Cricetulus griseus: one gene and its partners. The protein of the gene in region 1 purifies or fractionates together with the protein of each later gene. This does not show direct contact. Links are inferred from orthologs where the notes say so. Each region holds a gene or a part of one and is shown in the gene's direction. Other genes may lie near its edges.

Region 1 (3,871 bases):
CTTCCTAAATAACAGTGGCAATGTTCCCAGGTCTGCAGTGTTAGCTTGGAGCAGCTGGCCTTTGTGATGGACACACAGCCCAAGATGTTGGGCTGCCTCGGTGCAGTTTGGGCCCAGGATTAGCACAGGCACCGGATGTTTGCTTGTGCTCAGCTCCCCAGGGCAGCCTGCAAAACTCGGGCTTTTGAGAGCCTCTGGCATATTGTCAGGGTGATGCTGTCCTTTACACCACGGATTTTTATAATTCCACAGTGGATTCACCCTCAGCACCCACACTCTAAGCAGGTGTGCCTGATGAAGACTGCTCTGGGGAGAAGCGGATCATCCTAAAGAGTCATCTTCCCCCTGTGCAGTCAGAGAAGACACCGACAAGCGTGTGTTTTGTCTGTACTGGTCTCTATCCTCAGATGAAAGATGGCACAGGGTGATCAGTGCCTGACAGGCAGAGAGGAGAGAGCTAAGAACACAGTTTGGATCCTCTGGTGATGCCTTTGTGGTACCTACACGTTTTCCAGAATGTTTTTCTGCATTTGGAACTGGTGGAGTGTTACTTTTTCACTTTCTGGTAAAACAACAAAATAATTAAGGATAGCTCTAGACACTGCCATGTTCAGGATTTATAAGACCCAGAACAGCTGGAAATGCCTTTCCATCTCAGCCTGCTTCCACCCTTGAAGATAGCCATTGTTACCAGACATACCCAGGCCTGAGCCAAGTGTGTTGAAGCTCCGCCCATCTGCCAGAATTTTGGGGGCAACCCACTAGGAATACTGTTCCCTTGCTCCCCCAGACCCAGTTCATCTCCACTGTGATCCCACTGAATCATAAGCAGCTTTCAGGTTTTCTCCTGTGGATGTATGGCATTTGCTGTGTGTCTGTGTCATGTCTGCACAGTGACAGGAGGGGCACTGTAGTGACACCATGCATAAACCTTTGCTGTGCATGGTGTGTAAGCACTGCTAGAGGGATCTCCTGGGTCAGCGTGAGCTTGCCGCTGTGGTAGGCATTGCCAGTCATTCCAGAGAAGGAGTTGGACTGGATTATGTCCCCTGTTCACCTCCAGCTCTGTAACCTCTGACTTCCCCTGATCCTCATGGATCGACAGGTGGAAAATGGGGTCTCCGTAGACTTTCCCTTGTGGCTTCCCTTCTCAGAGTACGTTGTGTTTCCGCTGTTACAGGCATCTTTTCATCTGGGCAGAAGCCATATTCATCCCCTATAAATGATCCCTGTGCCCAACTGTTTCTGTGAGTTAGGCCTTTGTCCTCTTGATGTACAGGGGACATTCCTTTCTTGAACAAGTCAAAATGACTGTGGGTGACTAAACAACTCTCTTTGCAGGTTGACTACCTGGAAATAGTCCCGGATACTGGGAGGTACCCCGTGGCAATAGCCACAGCTGGGGACCTGGTATACCTGCTGAAGGCCGAGGACTCAGCCAGAACCCTTCATTATGTCTACGGCCAGCCTGCCACATGTCTGGATGTCTCAGCCACCCAGGTTGCCTTTGGAGTCAAGAGTCTGGGATGGGTATATGAAGGAAACAAGGTACGGAAACAGTGACTTGTACATTAGCAAGAAATAGCATGTATTTAATTTTTTAAATGTAGCTGGAAAATTAAGCTCTTCTTGTTTTGGTTTGGTTTAGTTACTTGAAATAGGGTCTTGGATATCCTAGGCTGGCCTTGAACTCACTATGTAGCCTCCTGCCCTGCCTCCTCCCAAGTGCTCAGAGTAGCGGTGTGAACCACTATGCCTTACGATGTGATGTGTTAATACTCTTGTTTTCAACCGTGTCAGGGCAGTGTATTAGCATGGCAGAAAAATCCAAGCAAGTAAATGGAACATGAGATGAAGAGTATCTTCTTGACTGTACATGGTTGGTTATTAGTGATTTCCAGATGTCTAAGGACAAGAATCTAGCATATGTAGACACGTCTGTTGACAAGGGGCAGGTCTTTGCAGGCGTGGGGTCATGGTTTGTGCCCTGTTCTGTGTGTAGCATTTACTCAGCAATGTACCTCAGACAGCGTTTCATATCTCATGTCCCAGCTCTGCCCTAGAGTTCCAGTGTGTGTTTAGAGCTCATAGGCTGTGTAGCCAATACTCTCACTGGTGTGTATGTATGTAGGCCACCCTTGTTGTTTGGGCCACCTCAGGGAATGCTGCACCACACACTGCAACTTGCAGAGATCCTTGTGCAGTCTGTCTTTAGGAAATGCATCACCATGTAGATGGTCATTGCTAAATCACATTCTAAGGCAGAGCCAGTGAGACAGTTAGGCAAGTCAAGATATTTGCTACACAAACCTGATGACCCAAGTTCTATCCCTGGAAGGAGAAGAGCCAACTCCACAAAATTATCCTCAGACCTCCACCCATGTATTACCATGGCATGTGCCCCATGCACATATACACAGTAATATAATAAAATTAGGAAATAAAATGAAAATTTTACGTTATAGTTTTTGTTGTCATTAGCTGCATGAAAGTGCCTGCTGCTGTGTGTGAGCCAGACAGGAAGAAAGTCTTTTGTTAACTCTTGGGTGATAGCCGTGTTTTTTTGTTTTGTTTTGTTGGTTTTTCGAGACAGGGTTTCTCTGTGGCTTTGGAGGCTGTCCTGGAACTAGCTCTTGTAGACCAGGCTGGTCTCAAACTTACAGAGATCCGCCTGCCTCTGTCTCCTGAGTGCTGGGATTAAAGGCGTGAGCCACCAACGCCCGGCTGATGGCCGTGTTATCGCCGCATTTTAGCATATGATTGCAGGCCAAGTCCTCAGTCTTAAAGCTGGTTTACAGAACTCGCCCCTTTTGGGTGGGATCAGGGGAGATGTGTGGATTTCTTTTGGCTTTAGGTTCCTTTTGGTTTGCTGCTCTCTACCCCACTGGCAGTCAGGGTCTTCCTGGGAAGAAACACCTGAGCCAAGGGCTCCTTCTCCTAATGAAGGAGTTCCCTTTCCTACACAGCAGTGGTGTGAATTGGAGAGGCAGGCTCTGCACATAAGCTGCCCAGCCCTGTCTCCTATGACCCAGTGTGACCTCAGGCAGGTTGCCTAGACCTCCTTCTGCCTCTCTCTCTTAAAAAATTTAGATTAATGTATTTTATATTTTATGTGTATTTCTGTGCACCTCATGCATGCTATGTGCCCTTAGAGGTCAGAGAGGGCTTTGGATCCCCTGGAACTGGAGTTACATACAGGTGGTTTTGAGCTATTATTGGAGCTGGGAACTGAACCTGGGTCCTCTGCAAGAGCAGCCAGTGCTCTTAGCTGCTGAGTGTCTGTCTCCCCAGCCCCTGCCTGTTTCCTCTTTTGTAAATGGTTCCGGCAGTACCTGCTGATAAGCTTGGGCTCCACTGAAGGGTGTACTTGGTTCACGTCAGCGCAGCTCAGTCAGCCCTGTTGTATTTCCTCTTCTCTGCTGCTCACACTTGGATTCCAGGCTCCAATGGTATTTGTATGTTTCATTTCCCCCCATATATTTGAACTGTGCAGTCAAATATGATTCATAGGTGCCATTGTTTGGGGTAGTGTGGTGCTCAAAAATTGAAGCATCCTGGCTTCTACATATAAGACCCAGAGTGGCAGCAAAAGGCCTCTCTGGAAGGCAGCAGTTTGTGCTGGGTCAGCCCTTCCCTCATTCCTAGCTGGGGAGCCCCTGGGGAAGCCACCGGAGTGACTTCCCAGGAAGGGGCAAGGAGGAGGCACCGGATTCTTCTCTCTTGTTTCCTTCTCCGAGCTGGAAAGGCTCTGGTTCCCAAAGGAAGGACTTGATTGCTCAGTTTGTCTGTTTTGCCTTCAGTTTTGTTACCTTGTTTGTTTTTGGTGTTTTCCCAGTGAAGTCAGACTATGGTGATTGTTTGAAGTCTTGTT
Region 2 (3,871 bases), on another chromosome or scaffold:
TAATCTTCACTGCTTCTTTTGTCTTGTTGGTTTTTTAAGCTAGTAAAAATGAACTTAAATTTTTTACATTATAATCAATAGATTCTGGTCTATTGAATGTATTTCTATTGTTTTGTTTTGTTTTCTCTGTGTTACAGTTCTGGCTGTCTTGGAACTCACTTTGTAGATCCGCCTGCCTCTGTCTCCCCAAGTGCTGGGATTAAAGGTGTGTGCCACCACTACCTGGTCCTCAAATATATTTTAAATATTGAGTTGAGTTTGTGATCATTGCTGTAATAGAATGCTTTTTAGATTCTGGGAACATGGTACATTGTACTTTAAAATGCATTATTTGAATTACTAATTTGGTAACCCAGATAACTTTGCAGATTTACTAATGCATCATCAAAGTATTTATTGCCGCCTCTGTTTTTGTTGTAGGTTTTCTGTTGGATAAAAAGATTGGAGTAAATCAACCAAAGAGAATTGAAAATGCTAAAATTCTTATTGCAAATACTGGAATGGATACCGACAAAATAAAAGTACATGACTATATTTCTTGAAATTCTATTGCTGATTGCTGTTAATCAGGAGTCAAGTACATTAAACAGCTTGGGATCTGTTTGAAAATAATATATATGCCCACATATACTTTGTTCATAAAAATACTGTGTTATAGAACTTTATAGAACTTTAAAGAGGAGTGAGACTTAACTCTGTCTTTATGTCTTTCATCTTAGATATTTGGCTCTCGGGTCAGAGTTGATTCCACGGCAAAGGTTGCCGAAATAGAGCATGCAGAAAAGGAAAAGATGAAGGAGAAGGTTGAGCGTATTCTTAAGCATGGGATAAATTGCTTTATTAACAGGTCTGTGTTTGCTTGTGCTGACAGTGTTTTCAGCAAACCCTAAAGTTATTTTTGTTTCCATGTGAATTTATTTCCTGTCAAATTGCTTACTGTTAGAAACTGTTGTATATGGTTTACTTACAGTTACAGATTGTTGCAACTCAAGCAATCAGCTAAGACATACTCAGTGGACTGTTAGTTAGATTAGAGGCAAGTTTTACATGTTCTAAGGTTCCTCAATCCTTGTTGCTAGTCTCAGTACTTTATTGTACTGTACTCAGTTTTTCATGTTGTGATAAAAGGATACAGTGCTTGATGTGGTAGATGAAGTGAGGCTAATTAGTTGGGTGTTGTCACTTAAAGTACAGTAGTCAGTCTTGAGCACTCACAGTGAGATAACATCCATCTTCTAATGTAGAGAGAGGGCCACTAAGGGACTAGTAGACAGAAGAACACACTGGATTCACCAGAGGACTGATGATTCATTCATGCAGTTGTGGGACAGTGTACAGCAATGTCAGATTCTTCTGGATACTCAGGATAGGGAATGGCTTCAATATGATGAATTGTTTCTCTTGGAATTTCTGAGGGAGTGATTCTAGCTGGAACCTGAGAAATGAATCTCTTAAGGGGGAGACTCTTGGGTAGAAATAGCTTTCTTGAAGATTTTTAGCATTTCATTGCTGTAGATTACTGGTTTGGGGTTGTTTTGTTTTTTAATTTCTTTTTTGCCTTTGCTATGGAGGTTAGAGAGCTTGTGGGAATGGGATCTCTCCCATTTGAGACCCAAGGATTGAGCATACATCATCAGGCTGGTTTTGTTTGTTTGTTTGTTTGTTTGCGGCGAAGTAAAATGTTTACAGGTTTTGTATTTCATCATGAGAAGTGGCCATTTTGAGCATAAAGTTCCTTTGTATTTTGTTTGCAGACAGTTAATTTATAATTATCCCGAACAACTGTTTGGTGCTGCTGGTGTCATGGCTATTGAACATGCAGATTTTGCAGGTGTGGAACGCCTGGCACTTGTCACAGGTATGGAAAAAGACATTAGTTTCTAGCAAGTATAATTACCATTCTTGTATTTATTGAGCATTACTGTGCAGTGCATTGCTGAGAATAAGAAGAAACCCCTTAAAGAGCTAAGGGTATATAAGTAGTTATTCTGAATTTTGCCTTTAGTTACATTGTTTGAAGAATTATATTGATTTTTGTATGTTTTGGGTGCATATGAGCCATGGCTAGCATGTCTCTTCCCTTGTGAGTCTTGGGTCTCAAACTCAGGTCATAAGGCTTGGTGGCAAATATCTTTATAGTATTCTGAATTATCTTACTGGTCCCAGAAGTAGTAGTAAGTAGTTAGTAGTAGTAGTAGTAGTAGTAGTAGTAGTAGTAGTAGTAGTAGTAGTTTTCTCTCTTAGAAATGCTTGGTGCTTGGTACTCAAGTTTCTCAGATTTTGGATCTTGGGTGTGTGGAGTGAACTACTTGATCATGCATAGTGAGATAACGGGGTAAAATTCAAGTCTAAACATGGAATTCATTTTTATTAGATATGTATGCCTCATACACAAAGATATCTTCAATATTTTTGGTTGACTTGCGTTTTTACTGGTCCATTGCGTGGACTCAGATACAGTATTTTCTACTTCAGTTATTTTTGTTCTTAAAAAGTTGCACATTTAGGTTTCAGTTTATGAATGTTTAATATGTATACCAAATTATATAAATGCTAGGTTTGCCATGGCTGTGGAATTCTTTTTGTTGTTGTGTTTCAGGACACCTAGTTCTTTCACACAAATATAAAGATTAGTTTTCTAGGTATAGTCTAAACAAATTGGAGCTTTAAAAAGTGAATCCAAAAACAGCCTCAAACCCACAGAGATCCGCCTGCCTCTGTCTTCCTAGTGTTGGTATTATAGGCGTGTGCCACCATGCCCAGCTGAGAGCTATTTTAACCCTGTAATGTGTTTATGATCATAGGTGGTGAGATTGCCTCCACTTTTGATCACCCGGAGCTGGTGAAGCTTGGAAGCTGCAAACTTATTGAGGAAGTCATGATTGGAGAAGACAAACTCATCCACTTTTCTGGAGTTGCCCTTGGTGAGTGACTATGTAAATTTTGGCTTAAGTATCTAGGTCCTTGTTGGCCTCTTGAAGCAAAAGAAAAGTTACCGTAGTGCTAAAATACATTCTATAGGTGAGACGGTGAATCAGGTGCTTGGTGCTGAGATTGATGACCTAAGTTCCTTCTCTGGGACACATACAGTAGAAGGAGAGAACCAGTTTCCCCTTACTAACATGCATGCATACCCCCACACACATACACCCAAAGATTAATACGTGCAGTGGATATATAAGCATGCATACTCCCCCACACACACACCCAAAGATTAATACGTGGAGTGGATATATACGGACAAATATAAAGTAAATTTTGAGAGGGCCTATTTTTTGTTTTGTTTCAGTGTCTTGAGGTCTTACGTTGATATTTGCTGTGCCTTTTTGAAATGTGTACATTTAGCATAGATTTTCTTGATTAACTTAAGAGTACTTACAAACATGGATTTTTGCAGAGAAAGCATTGCATGGTAGATGACATCAGCTACCAAAACCCAATAATAGTCATGCATACATAAATAATGAAATGCAAATAACTGTGTGGTATGTGACTACATGGAAACTGACATGAATATTATATTTGATGTTAGGTGAGGCTTGTACTATTGTACTTCGTGGTGCCACACAACAAATTTTGGATGAAGCTGAAAGGTCTTTGCATGATGCCCTTTGTGTTCTTGCCCAGACTGTGAAAGATCCTAGGACAGTCTATGGAGGAGGTAAGTATTTGGAAAGTGTTAAATTCTTTCTTGACTTGTAAAAACTAATCATGTTAGCCTTTGATTTTAAAATGACAAACCTCAAGGGAAGTCAGTTCGTTGTTTTGGAGAGAGCAGAGCACATAATAGTTTTTGGATTTTAATTTGTAGGTTGTTCTGAGATGCTGATGGCTCATGCTGTGGCAAAACTTGCCAGTAAAACTCCAGGAA
Region 3 (4,414 bases), on another chromosome or scaffold:
AGGGCTCTTAGTCACTGAGTCACCTCTCCAGCCCCTGGGGTTGTTATTTGAGACAGGGTCTCTTGTAGCCCAGGCTGGCTTTGAACTCTCTTTGTAACTGAGAATGACCTTAGTCTCTTCATCCTCCAAGTACTGGGATCACAAGTGTGCACTCCATGTCTGGTAGATGTTTTTATATTGGTATTAAATTAATTGTTATATGTTGATATTAACCCTTTTAAAAAGGATGTATTTATTTTTATGTTCATTGCTGTTTTGCCTGCATGTATTCCTGTGCAAGGGTGTTGGGTCCCTGGGAACTGGGGTTACAGACAGTTGTGAGCTGCCACATGGGTGCTGGGAATTGAACCCGCATCCTCTGGAAGAGTGGTCAGCATTCTTAACCACTGAGCCATCTCTCCAACCCCTAAAGTCACTTCTTTACTTAATTTTTGTTGTTGTTGAAAACATTGTCTTTCATCCTGGCATGGTAGCCCATGCACGCCCAGAAGACCAGTAGTCAGAGTATGAGGCAGGAGGATCACTGTAAGTTTGAGGTCACGTGGGATACATAGTAAATTAAGAACTAAGGTACCACAATATCTCTTTGATCTTAAAAGATTTTTTAAAGAAAATATTGTATTTTAAAATTTTATCATTGTGTATATATTTGCATATGTTTAATCTATGCGTGTGGAGATTGGACAACCTTCTTTTTTTAAAAAAAAAAAGATTCATTTATTTATTATGAATACAACATTCTGCTTCCATGTCTATCTGCACACCAGAAGAGGGTACCATTATCTCATAATGGATGGTTGTGAGCCACCATATGGTTGCTGGGAATTGAACTCAGGACCTCTGGAAGAGCAGCCAGTGCTCTTAACCTCTGAGCTATCTCTCCAGCCCTGGGACAACGATTTGTGGAGTTGGTTTTATGTGGGTTCTGGGGATTGAATTCAGGTCATCAGGCTTGCATGGCAAATGTTTTTACCCACTGAGTTATCTTGTGGGTCCCTTTTTTATGTGCATGAATGTCTTGCCTGCGGCTATGTATGTGCATTAGTGCCCACAGAGATCAGAAGGGGGTGTTGGATCCCCTGGGCCTGGAGTAACAGAGGATTAGGAGCCATCACGTGGGTCCTGGGACTCAACGCAAGGCCTCTGCAAGAGCAGCCCAGGCTCTTAACCATTGAGCCATCTCTCTGGTCCCATCCCGGTAAGTCCACTGGCCTTAGCCTTGCACGTCGAGTATGGCAGGTTGGAGACCCGCTGCCTTTCGGGGGCGGGGGTTGGGGGGGAGGAGGACATGATGACGTGGGTTTTGGAAGCTGAGATGGGAAGCCGTGGCCCCAGCGAGGCCCTAGGGGGCGGCCACACCTCTGTGGGGAGGAGAGGGAGGTTGCCCTGAAGGGAGTGGACAGCTCCGCTGCCAGTCTTCCCAGGCTGAGAGTGTAAGATGAGAAGAAGGTGGGCCTCACCCAGGAGGGGAGGGCGCCCAGAAACTTCCTGCCACTCTCAGCTCCACCGCAGACAGACAGCAAGCAAGGTCAGCCTGGAGCGGGTGGCTGCCTTCCTGGGGGCGGGAGACCCTCCTCGGTGCTGGGCGGAGGCCTTGAAGCTCCTCGCCATATTGAACGGCCACCACGCTGAGCCGCCTTTGTTTGCAGAGTCCTCCCACAAACTTTCAGCTGCACCCCGGGGTGTCGGGGCCAAGGGAGAAGCGATCAGAGATCAGAGCCCGTGCGTTCCCAGCTTGGAGCGGGGACGCTGGCGATTCCAGTTTGGACCGAGCTTTGAGCCTCGGGACTGACCTCACCTCTCTCTTCCCGTAAGCACCCTGGAAAATTGCTCGCTACAACTCCGAGGGGTGAGAGAAACCCAACTTGGACTCATCGCCTGCGGAGCAAACTGCGGGGAGGTGACACTCTGCGTGAGCAGAGAGTTGCTGGAACCCTCTCTGCCCTCTCCCCAAGACTAGAAGCAAGTTTTTTGTTTGTTTGTTTGGGCTTCTTGCCCCCCCGCCCCAGAGTCCACTCTGGAGATCTTAAAGACTCTCGAGAAAAGCCACGTGGGGGGATGGTTCCCCTGGGGCTTCCTCCCCTCCCCCGATTGCCTGATCCTCTGGAGTGTCCCTGATGTCTGCAAAGATGTCGATCTGGACGTGTTGGTGGAGGCCTTAAGGCCCGTGGGCACCTTTAAGAAGATCGGGAAGGTGTTCCGCAAAGAGGAGGACTCCACGGTGGGAATGTTGCAGATTGGGGAGGATGTTGACTATCTGCTCATCCCCCGGGAGGTCCGGCTGGCTGGGGGCGTGTGGAGGGTCATCTCCAAGCCCGCCACCAAGGAAGCTGTGTTTCGCGAGCGGCTGATGCAGTTTCTGCAGGAGGAGGGCCGCACCCTGGAAGACGTGGCCCGAATCATCGAAAAGAGTACTCCACACCCACCCCAGCCCCGCAAGAGAGCCAAGGAGCCCCGAGTGAGGGCAATCCCCCAGATGGTCACTCCTCCACTCCGGCTGATTGTAGGCACCTATGACAGCAGCAACGCCAGCGACAGCGAGTTGAGTGACTTGGAGACCTCCAAAGTCAAAGGCAACAGGGGCTCCCAGAGGACCAGAAAGGTGCGCAAAATGCCGGTCAGTTACTTGGGCAGCAAATTCCTGGGCAGCGACGTGGAGAGCGAGGATGATCAGGAGCTGGTGGAGGCCTTCCTCCGCCGGGGAGAGAAGAAGCCCGGCCTGCCTCCTCCACGACGCCGAGTCAATCTGCCAGTGCCCATGTTTGAGAACAACCTGGGTCCCAGGCCATCCAAGGCGGACAGATGGCGGGAGTATGTCAGTCAGGTGTCCTGGGGGAAGCTGAAACAGAGGGTAAAGGGCTGGGCACCCAGGTCAGGCTCCGAGGTGGGCGAGGCCCAGCAGGCCTCCATGGCAGCTGAGAGGGCTGGAGGACTGAGACACAGCCTCACCAGGGGGGACGATGGCTCCAGAAACTCGGAGGATGGGAGCGACCAGACACAGGGTACCAGCTGCTGGAATCCCAAATTCAAGTGGGTCTCCTTGAGGCGGTCCAGGAAGGAGCAGGCGGCGCCACTCCCAGCTCAGGGCACAGGCATGCCAGCCCAGGGGCCCCCAGAGGCTGCAGAGATCCAGGGGGCAGAGGCTCCAGCTAATCCGAGGGCAGGGGCTGCAGCTAATCCGAGGGCAGGGGCTGCAGCTAATCCGAGGGCAGGGGCTGCAGCCAATCGGAGGGCAGGGGCTGCAGCCAATCGGAGGGCAGGGGCTGCAGCCAATTCGAGGGCAGAGGCTGCAGCTAATCCGAGGGCAGGGGCTGCAGCCAATCGGAGGGCAGGGGCTGCAGCCAATCGGAGGGCAGGGGCTGCAGCCAATCCGAGGGCAGAGGCTGCAGCTAATCCGAGGGCAGGGGCTGCAGCCAATCGGAGGGCAGGGGCTGCAGCCAATCGGAGGGCAGAGGCTGCAGCTAATCCAAGGGCAGAGGCTGCAGCTGATCCGAGGGCAGGGGCTGCAGCCAATCGGAGGGTAGGAGCTCCAGCTAATCCGAGGGCAGGGGCTGCAGCTAATCCGAGGGCAGAGGCTATAGCTAATCCGAGGGCAGAGGCTGCAGCTAATCCGAGGGCAGAGGCTGCAGCTAATCCGAGGGCAGAGGCTGCAGCTAATCCGAGGGCAGAGGCTATAGCTAATCCGAGGGCAGAGGCTGCAGCTAATCCGAGGGCAGAGGCTATAGCTAATCCGAGGGCAGAGGCTGCAGCTAATCCGAGGGCAGAGGCTGCAGCTGATGCAGCCGAGGGCAGAGGCTGCAGCTGATCCGAGGGCAGAGGCTGCTAATCCGAGGGCAGAGGCTGCAGCTAATCCGAGGGCAGAGGTTGCAGCTAATCCGAGGGCAGAGGCTGCAGCTAATCCGAGGGCAGAGATTGCAGCTGATCCGAGGGCAGAGGCTGCAGCTAATCCGAGGGCAGAGGCTGCAGCTAATCCGAGGGCAGAGGCTGCAGCTAATCCGAGGGTAGAGGCTGCAGCTGATCCGAGGGCAGAGGCTGCAGCTAATCCGAGGGCAGAGGCTGCAGTTGATCTGAGGGCAGAGGCTGCAGGAGACCTGAGGGCAGAGGCTGCAGCTAATCCGAGGGCAGAGGTTGCAGCTAATCCAAGGGCTGAGACTCCAGCTAATCTGAGGGCAGAGGCCCCAGATAAGCCTGAGTCTGAGGTTGCAGGCAATCAGAGAACAGAAGCCCTACCTGACCGGAGGGCAGAAGCCATAGATAGTCAGAGGGCAGAAGGTCCAGCTAATGAAAGGACTGGAGCTGCAGAAAATCAGAGGGTGGAGGTCCCAGCTGACCAGAGGGAGGAGGCTGGGCCTCAGGCTATAGCGGAAGCCTCAGCTGGCTCCGTTACCCTAGGAACAGCCCCAGGACCTAGGGC
Region 4 (3,130 bases), on another chromosome or scaffold:
TCTTGCTAGCCATGCAGAATGGCTGTGCCGATGCCTTGCTGCGGCTCCCTTTCCTCAGAGCTACCCATGTAAGCTCCTTCCCATACTGGACCCTGATCCTCTCCCTGTAAACTCTCTCCTGCCTCCCCAGAGTGGACCACCTCAGTCTCGATTCTGTGATGAGCGGTAGTTGTATGTGACCATATCTTGGAAATTAGGAAAAATTCATTACGTACACCATTTTTTTTAAAGATTTTATTTATTCGTTATCTATACAGTCTTCTGCCTGCATGCCAGAGAGCACCAGATCTCATTCAAAGTGGGTGTGAACCACCATGTGGTTGCTGGGAATTAAATTTTTTTTAAGATTTTATTTATTATGTATACAACATTCTGCTTCCATGTATATCTGCACACCAGAAGAAGGCACCAGATCTCATAACGGATGGTTGTGAGCCACCATATGGTTGCTGGGAATTGAACTCAGGACCTCTGGAAGAGCAGTGAGTGCTCTTAACCTCTGAGCCATCTCTCCAGCCCTACATACACCATGTTAAGATAGACAGACAGAGGAGAGAGAGGAGAGAGAGGGAGGGAGAGGAGAGAGTCTCAACTTGGCCTCCTAGTCTTTTTTTTTTTTAAAAAAAACTAGTTTAAATTTATTTTATGTGCATTGGTGTGAAGGTGTTAGATCTCCTGGAACTGGACAGTTGTGAGCTGCCATGTGGGTGCTGGGAATTGAACCAGGTCCTCTGGAAGAACAGCCAGTGCTCTTAACCGCTGAGCGATCTCTCCAGCCCCTGGCCTCCTACTCTTAAACTCAGGCCTGCCTATGCCTCCCGAGTGCTGGGCTACCACACTCAACTTTTTCAAAGGTTCATATATTCCAAGCTTGCCTTAAACTCACTATGTAGTCCCAGAATGACTTGGAACTTCTGATCCTCCTGCCTTGTGTCCTGAGTGCTGGAGTTCAGGCATGTATACTGTGTGGTGCTGGGGATTGAACCCAGGGCCTGTGCTTGCTAGGCATGTGCTCGCTCTACTGATGGAGAGTTACACTCCCTGCCCCTCCTTAATTCCTAATCCTTCTGCCTCCACCTCTCCAGCGCTAGGATAATAGATGTGTGCTGTCATGCCTAGTGATTTCATTTTTAAATGATTTGATTTTTAGACACAGTGTGGGGGAACTTGACTTTTCAGAGTTGTTAGTGTTGCTCATTTGCTTGCCTGTGAATGAAAGTGTCTGCTAGGCCAGGGCTGTGGTTCTGTGTATGACTATTAGTTCTGATTCCATCCCCAGCACCTCCTGAAGGGGGCGTGGAGGCTGAGGGATGGATGCAGGTGGTGGCCATCATACCTGCTTCCTCAGCCCTGGCTCATTCACTTGTGGTTTTCCTATGCTCTCTACTCAGGTGACTGAGCAGTTTGCTCGGCACATTGACCAGCGGATCCAAGGCAGTAGGATGGGTGGAGCCCGGGGAATGGAGATGCTGGCACAGCTTCAGCGATGCCTGGAGTCTGTCGTTATTTTCTCTCGCCTGGAGATAGCCACTACCTTTGAGCATTACTACCAGTGAGTTTGGATCTGTTGAGTAGGAAATGGGGAAGGCAAGCTCTCTGTTGTGGGGCAGGGCCAGCTCACAGGGTCTGAGTCTGAGACACAGACAGGACAGAGTGAGAACTTGGGTCAAACTGGCACCCACGCTGAGATCTGGCCCAACTGTGTGTGCTACAGGCATTACATGGCTGACCGTCTCCTGAGCGTAGGCTCGAGCTGGCTGGAGGGGGCTGTGATGGAGCAGATTGGCCTCTGCTTCCCCAACCGTCTTCCCCAACAGATGCTACAGAGTCTGAGCATCTCAGAGGAGCTGCAGCGTCAGTTCCATGTTTTTCAGCTCCAGCAGCTCGATCAGGAGCTCCTGAAGCTGGAAGACACAGAAAAGAAGATACAGGTGGGTTCCAGGGAAGGGATGGGCAAGGAAGAGGTGAGAGGAGGCCTTCAGCATTTGTGAAATTTGTTCCCTTTCAGGTGGCCCATGAGGACAGTGTCAAGGAGCACAAGAGCAAGAAGGAAGAGGCTGCTAGAGAGATAGCAGCTGTGGCTATGGCAGAAGAGGAGGAGGAGAAAGAGGAGGAGAAAGAGGAGGAGAGGGAGGAGGAGCAGGAGGAGGAGCAGGAGGAGGAGGGGGAGGAGGAGCTATATTATGAAGGGACAATGCCAGAAGTGTGTGTGCTTGTGCTGTCTCCACGCTACTGGCCTGTCACCTCGGTCTGCCACATGCTCAGTTCTACGGCACGCCTGCCCTCATATCTGAGGGGGACTTTAAACCACTACTCCAACTTCTACAACAAGAGTAAGCAACTGGGAAGAGGGCTTGGGCTTTGGGGACAAGGGTTGGCTACTGAGAAAGGGACAGAGAGTTGGAGTAGGTGCTGAAATCAGAAGCCTGCAAGGCTACAACCATAGCATCCCAGCATGCCCTTGTGCAGGGGGTATAGGATTCAGGAGGTAAGACTTCCTTAGAGGGACAGGGAATAGGGGGAGATAGAGGTATAAGTCTTCTAAGACAGGCCACAAGAAAGGGCTTTATGAGTGGGTGTGTCCAGGCATAGTGGAGTACACCTTTATCCCAGAACTCTGGAGGAAGAATCAAATGGATCTCTAAGAGTTTGAGTCTAGCATGTGACTAGCATGGAAGGTAGTCTGCATAGTGAGTTCTAGGCCAGCCAGAGCTACACAGAGACCTTGTCTCAAAAACAGAACCAAAGAGTGGGTGTGTGCTCCTCCCTCAATGGTCACATTTAGTCTCAAAGTGTTGGCTGGAGATGAGACTCTAGACTGGGCAAATCACAGCAGGCGAAGAGCAGAGCCCCCTCAGGAGGCCCAGACAGGCAGGAGGACAAGCCTCTCAACTCAGGGATTTTTGTCTCTAAAACAATTGAACACAACTCAAAGGGTATGGCTGCAACCTGCTTGGCACAGTTGAGCTCCTTGATACCCAAGGCTCTTTAGGGAAGCTGGGATTAGGAGCCACCATTCCAGAAGTCCTGCCTGGGGTTGCACACTGCAGAGTAGCAAGGCAGAGCTTGACTGGTGGTGCATTCCCCCTCCTTTCCCCCATCTCCTCCCCTGGCATTTCTTCAGGTCAGA
Region 5 (3,871 bases), on another chromosome or scaffold:
TTGATTTTGAATTTATGGTTTTACTCCTAAAATTGACTTAATAATTTTAGTGTGGAACTTTGCTTACTTTTTTTGTTTCATTTAATGTTTCAAAGATTGATTTATTTTATTATATGCATATGAGTGTTTTGCCTGCACATGTGTATGTATATGCACCAAATGTGTGCCTGGTGTCTGTTGAAGTTCCTCTGACACTGGAGTTACAGAAGGTTGTAAGCTACTATGTGCTTGGAATAGAACTCAGGTCCTCTATAAGAACAGCAAGTATTCTAACCCACTGAGCCATCTCTCCAGCCCTAGTGCTTTGCTGCTTGCTACTAAGTCTAGTTTAATCAACTGGAATTTAAGGAATGGATGGCAGTACTTACTGTAAGCATTCTGGAGTGAATTTATGCTGTCTGTACAAGTTAGTACACAGGCCCACCCAAAACCAAGCAATCGTTGGCTCCTGGTGGTAGCCAGAGATAGTTAGCTTGTGAATTTACTTCACTAATGTGTTCTTCTCCTGGCTTTGCCAGATGGTGGTCTTCAAGTACATCGAGGACAAAGATGTGTTTCAGAAGTTCTATGCAAAGATGCTTGCTAAGAGACTGGTCCATCAGAACAGTGCGAGTGACGATGCGGAAGCAAGCATGATCTCCAAGTTAAAGGTGCTGTTCTTTTCCTGGTGAACTCCCACTTCCTCCAGGGCTTTATTGATGTGGTTATTAGTCTCTCCATGCCGTCAGTGGGCAGAGGGGTTTGTGCAAATGAGCCCTGCTTGGGCTGGCCTGGGCTGGGCTCTGCTCACCATGTCCTCATCTTCGCCTGCCTCCCACCACTCAGCCTTGTTGGCTTTGGGTGAATGCTTAGCAGCTTCTTAGCACAGGCTGCCAAAACAAAACACCATGGACCAGGTGACTTAGGACAGAAATTAAGTCTCTATTTCTGAAGAGGGCATTCCTCCTGTCTTGAAGGTCACCACTTCACTTGGCAGAGTACCTGTGGAGAGCATCCTCTTACAGAGGCACCAGCCCCTGAGAGGAGCCCTACCCTCATGAACCCACAGGAGCTGGCCCACCTCCTAACACCTCCAGCACATTCTGGAGGGGACAGTTTGGAAGTAGAATAAGGGACAAGCAGATTATTTGGGATATGGGGGTGTGTGATTTGAGGGGCAGTTGTGACAGCCCAGGCTATCCTTTCACCTCTGCTTCCAAATAGATGGAAGGAAGGGAGGGAGGGAGGGAGGGAGGAGGAGGGAGGAGGAGGGAGGAGGGAGGAGGGAGGAGGAGATGGATGGATGGAGGGATGGATGGATGGATGGATGGATGGGTGGGAGGGTGGGTGGATGGATGGATGGATGGGTGGGTGGGAGAGTGGGTGGATGGATGGATGTGCACCACTACACCAGGTTGTAATCATTTCCCAATTGTAATCTACTAAAGTGGTAGAACACTTTGTTTTAAATGCTGCAATATACTTATTGCATATTAAAAACTTAATTGTTCAATTTTTAATGAACTTTTTGTCACATACTAATTTTAATCAGTATATATATATATATATATATATATATATATACTATAAGATATGACTAAGTGTTACTAGTAGTTTCATATAACAAAGATATGTTGTATTGTGATTTCTCCAAAATTCCCTTATATATGTTGTAGACATTCCATGTTTCTATATGAATTAATGAGATAATTGCCTTGGTTCATTTCAGCAAGCTTGCGGTTTTGAGTATACCTCCAAACTTCAACGAATGTTTCAAGACATTGGTGTAAGCAAAGATCTGAATGAACAGTTCAAAAAGCACCTAACAAATTCAGAACCCCTGGACTGTGAGTATTGAGTGCTCATAGAATGACTTTTTGGGACTAAACTGCAGAGGAGAGAAGTGACAGAATATGGAGTAAGGGTGGTAGATGGCGACAGAATTCCAAAGACTAAGAAAGAGAGGACCTTCTCTCCCTGTTTGGGGCGTCTCCTCTAACTCCCAGGATGCTATGATGGTAGCCTTGTCAGGACGAGATGATGCCAAGTCACATTTCCTGTAAAAGGAGGTCTTAATCGGTCTAGATAATAAAAAGCCAGAGTCAGATAGCTCAGAGATCAGAGAAGAGCAAGCCACGGAACACCTTACCTTCTTAGCATCTCAGCAGACAAAAGAGCAATTTCCTGTTTCTCCCTGCTTATATCCTGTTTCTGCCCAGCTACCTCACTTCCTGTCTGTCTGTACTGACCTACAGATCTCTGTGGTTAGCTAGAGGCAAGCTCCATTCTCTGACCCTCAGACAGGCATATCTGTATAAGCAAGATATCACCACATTTTCCAGGTTGGGCTTTGCTGATGTGTGGGCTTTTCTTCTTTTGAACCTTAGTTTGGATGCATTTCTGATTATTTTCCTTCTCTCGAGTTTTTTGATGAGAGTTGGAGAATTTTATTCTTCCCAAATTTCTACCATCATTAAGCTTAATTCTTTTGCTAGTAGACATCTAAGTTGTCTGTAAAGATAAAATTACCCTGATTTGTAGGTTATACGTGTCTCCTATCTGTCTTCACCAACTGTAATGCAGGTGGTTTTTTTGCTGTTGAGCTTTCCATGTCCTTGTATTTGGGGCTATTAAACCATTCCTGGTCACCACATACTGCTTAAGCAGACTGAACTTCATATATTAAAAAAATAAATAAAAATGAAATTTAACTTGGAACTCTCCATTGACAGTGAAGTGGAGAATTGTTGTCCTGGGGGAAAGCGGTTTCCTGTTCTACAACCTTTAGTCTGAGTTTCTGACATAGAGCATCTCGTTGTGTAGCCAGCTAGCCTGGACTTGTGGTCCTCTGTGTCTGATGTTGGGATCACAAGTATACACCACTATGTTAGGCTTCCATTTTTACTCATTTTAATTGGATAAGTTGAAACTCTCTGTGTTCAAATCTTAATTTTATATTTAAGCAAGACTTTTAATGTATTTTCTTTAATTTTGACCATTTCCTGTGTATGTGCAACAATAGAATTTTTCAATGTGTAAGAGTAATTAAATGTGTTTCCACCCCCAGTGGACTTCAGTATTCAGGTCCTCAGTTCCGGATCGTGGCCCTTTCAGCAGTCTTGCACGTTTGCCTTGCCATCAGAGGTAAGGGTTGTTACCTGATCTCTTTGAGGTGTGTGGGGAGGGCGAAGAGCAGCCTGGCCATCAGTGTGCTGAGCTGTGCTGAGCTGTGCTGAGCTGTGCTGAGCTGTGCTGAGCTGAGCGGTCAGAGCCGTGTTCGTGGAGAACAGGAAGTGGGCCTGGGTTGGTTAGCAAAAGGTGGTCAACTCTGTTGCTGCAGTATTGATTTATTCCTATAAGTGGAGAATCTCATTGGCTGCATGGTGAACTCTCTGGTACCTACTGGGCCTGGAGTAGAGACCTACTTTGGTTCTACTCTCCAGTGCCTACCGTGCTCACGAGACAGTTGTGCCTAACAGCTGTGGTTCACGTCTCTGTAAGCACTGATTTTGTTCTCAGAACTTGGGGCAAGGAGCTTTATTTAGAAATGCTGACTGTAGAATGTAGAGCCATCGATGCCACGTAGTGCTGTCCTTTCATCCAGCTGGAGCGCAGTTATCAGCGGTTTACAGCCTTCTACGCCAGTCGCCACAGCGGCAGAAAACTGACATGGTTGTATCAGCTGTCCAAAGGGGAACTAGTCACTAATTGCTTCAAAAACAGATACACTCTGCAGGTAAAACCATCTTTTTAATGGGGGGGGGAGGTTATTTTAGTACTAAATGATAAGACATATTATAGAAACCCTTCGAGATAACTCATGTGATAGGAGGAGTTCATCTCTAAAAAAGTAGTGTAGAGGGTAAAGCTCGCTTGCTGTGGTCAGGGGAGC

The links.
Region 2: the proteins of Fbxw8 (region 1) and Cct2 purify together in Homo sapiens (co-immunoprecipitation; 3 studies listed by BioGRID and IntAct, with this or other methods). This does not show direct contact. The link is inferred for Cricetulus griseus from reciprocal best matches to the Homo sapiens genes FBXW8 and CCT2.
Region 3: the proteins of Fbxw8 (region 1) and coiled-coil domain-containing protein 8-like purify together in Homo sapiens (affinity purification with mass spectrometry; 3 studies listed by BioGRID and IntAct, with this or other methods). This does not show direct contact. The link is inferred for Cricetulus griseus from reciprocal best matches to the Homo sapiens genes FBXW8 and CCDC8.
Region 4: the proteins of Fbxw8 (region 1) and Cul7 purify together in Homo sapiens (affinity purification with western blotting; 12 studies listed by BioGRID and IntAct, with this or other methods). This does not show direct contact. The link is inferred for Cricetulus griseus from reciprocal best matches to the Homo sapiens genes FBXW8 and CUL7.
Region 5: the proteins of Fbxw8 (region 1) and Cul1 purify together in Homo sapiens (affinity purification with western blotting; 9 studies listed by BioGRID and IntAct, with this or other methods). This does not show direct contact. The link is inferred for Cricetulus griseus from reciprocal best matches to the Homo sapiens genes FBXW8 and CUL1.

Annotation. Positions count from the first base shown.
Region 1 is NC_048597.1:97,991,320-97,995,190, reverse strand, and holds part of Fbxw8 (F-box/WD repeat-containing protein 8), read left to right. Parts: intron 1-1,341; coding exon 1,342-1,548; intron 1,549-3,871. UniProt on the Homo sapiens protein: Substrate-recognition component of the Cul7-RING(FBXW8) ubiquitin ligase complex, which mediates the ubiquitination and subsequent proteasomal degradation of target proteins.
Region 2 is NW_023276806.1:139,267,028-139,270,898, reverse strand, and holds part of Cct2 (T-complex protein 1 subunit beta), read left to right. Parts: intron 1-420; coding exon 421-521; intron 522-719; coding exon 720-847; intron 848-1,754; coding exon 1,755-1,858; intron 1,859-2,804; coding exon 2,805-2,924; intron 2,925-3,532; coding exon 3,533-3,661; intron 3,662-3,811; coding exon 3,812-3,871. UniProt on the Homo sapiens protein: Component of the chaperonin-containing T-complex (TRiC), a molecular chaperone complex that assists the folding of actin, tubulin and other proteins upon ATP hydrolysis.
Region 3 is NC_048602.1:11,621,465-11,625,878, forward strand, and holds the start of coiled-coil domain-containing protein 8-like, read left to right. Parts: upstream 1-1,433; 5' UTR 1,434-2,227; coding exon 2,228-3,769; intron 3,770-3,818; coding exon 3,819-4,414. UniProt on the Homo sapiens protein: Core component of the 3M complex, a complex required to regulate microtubule dynamics and genome integrity. It is unclear how the 3M complex regulates microtubules, it could act by controlling the level of a microtubule stabilizer.
Region 4 is NW_023276806.1:256,078,872-256,082,001, forward strand, and holds part of Cul7 (cullin-7), read left to right. Parts: coding exon 1-68; intron 69-1,391; coding exon 1,392-1,552; intron 1,553-1,714; coding exon 1,715-1,931; intron 1,932-2,008; coding exon 2,009-2,333; intron 2,334-3,124; coding exon 3,125-3,130. UniProt on the Homo sapiens protein: Core component of the 3M and Cul7-RING(FBXW8) complexes, which mediate the ubiquitination and subsequent proteasomal degradation of target proteins. Core component of the 3M complex, a complex required to regulate microtubule dynamics and genome integrity.
Region 5 is NW_023276806.1:222,430,864-222,434,734, reverse strand, and holds part of Cul1 (cullin-1), read left to right. Parts: intron 1-518; coding exon 519-650; intron 651-1,708; coding exon 1,709-1,826; intron 1,827-3,046; coding exon 3,047-3,123; intron 3,124-3,583; coding exon 3,584-3,715; intron 3,716-3,871. UniProt on the Homo sapiens protein: Core component of multiple cullin-RING-based SCF (SKP1-CUL1-F-box protein) E3 ubiquitin-protein ligase complexes, which mediate the ubiquitination of proteins involved in cell cycle progression, signal transduction and transcription.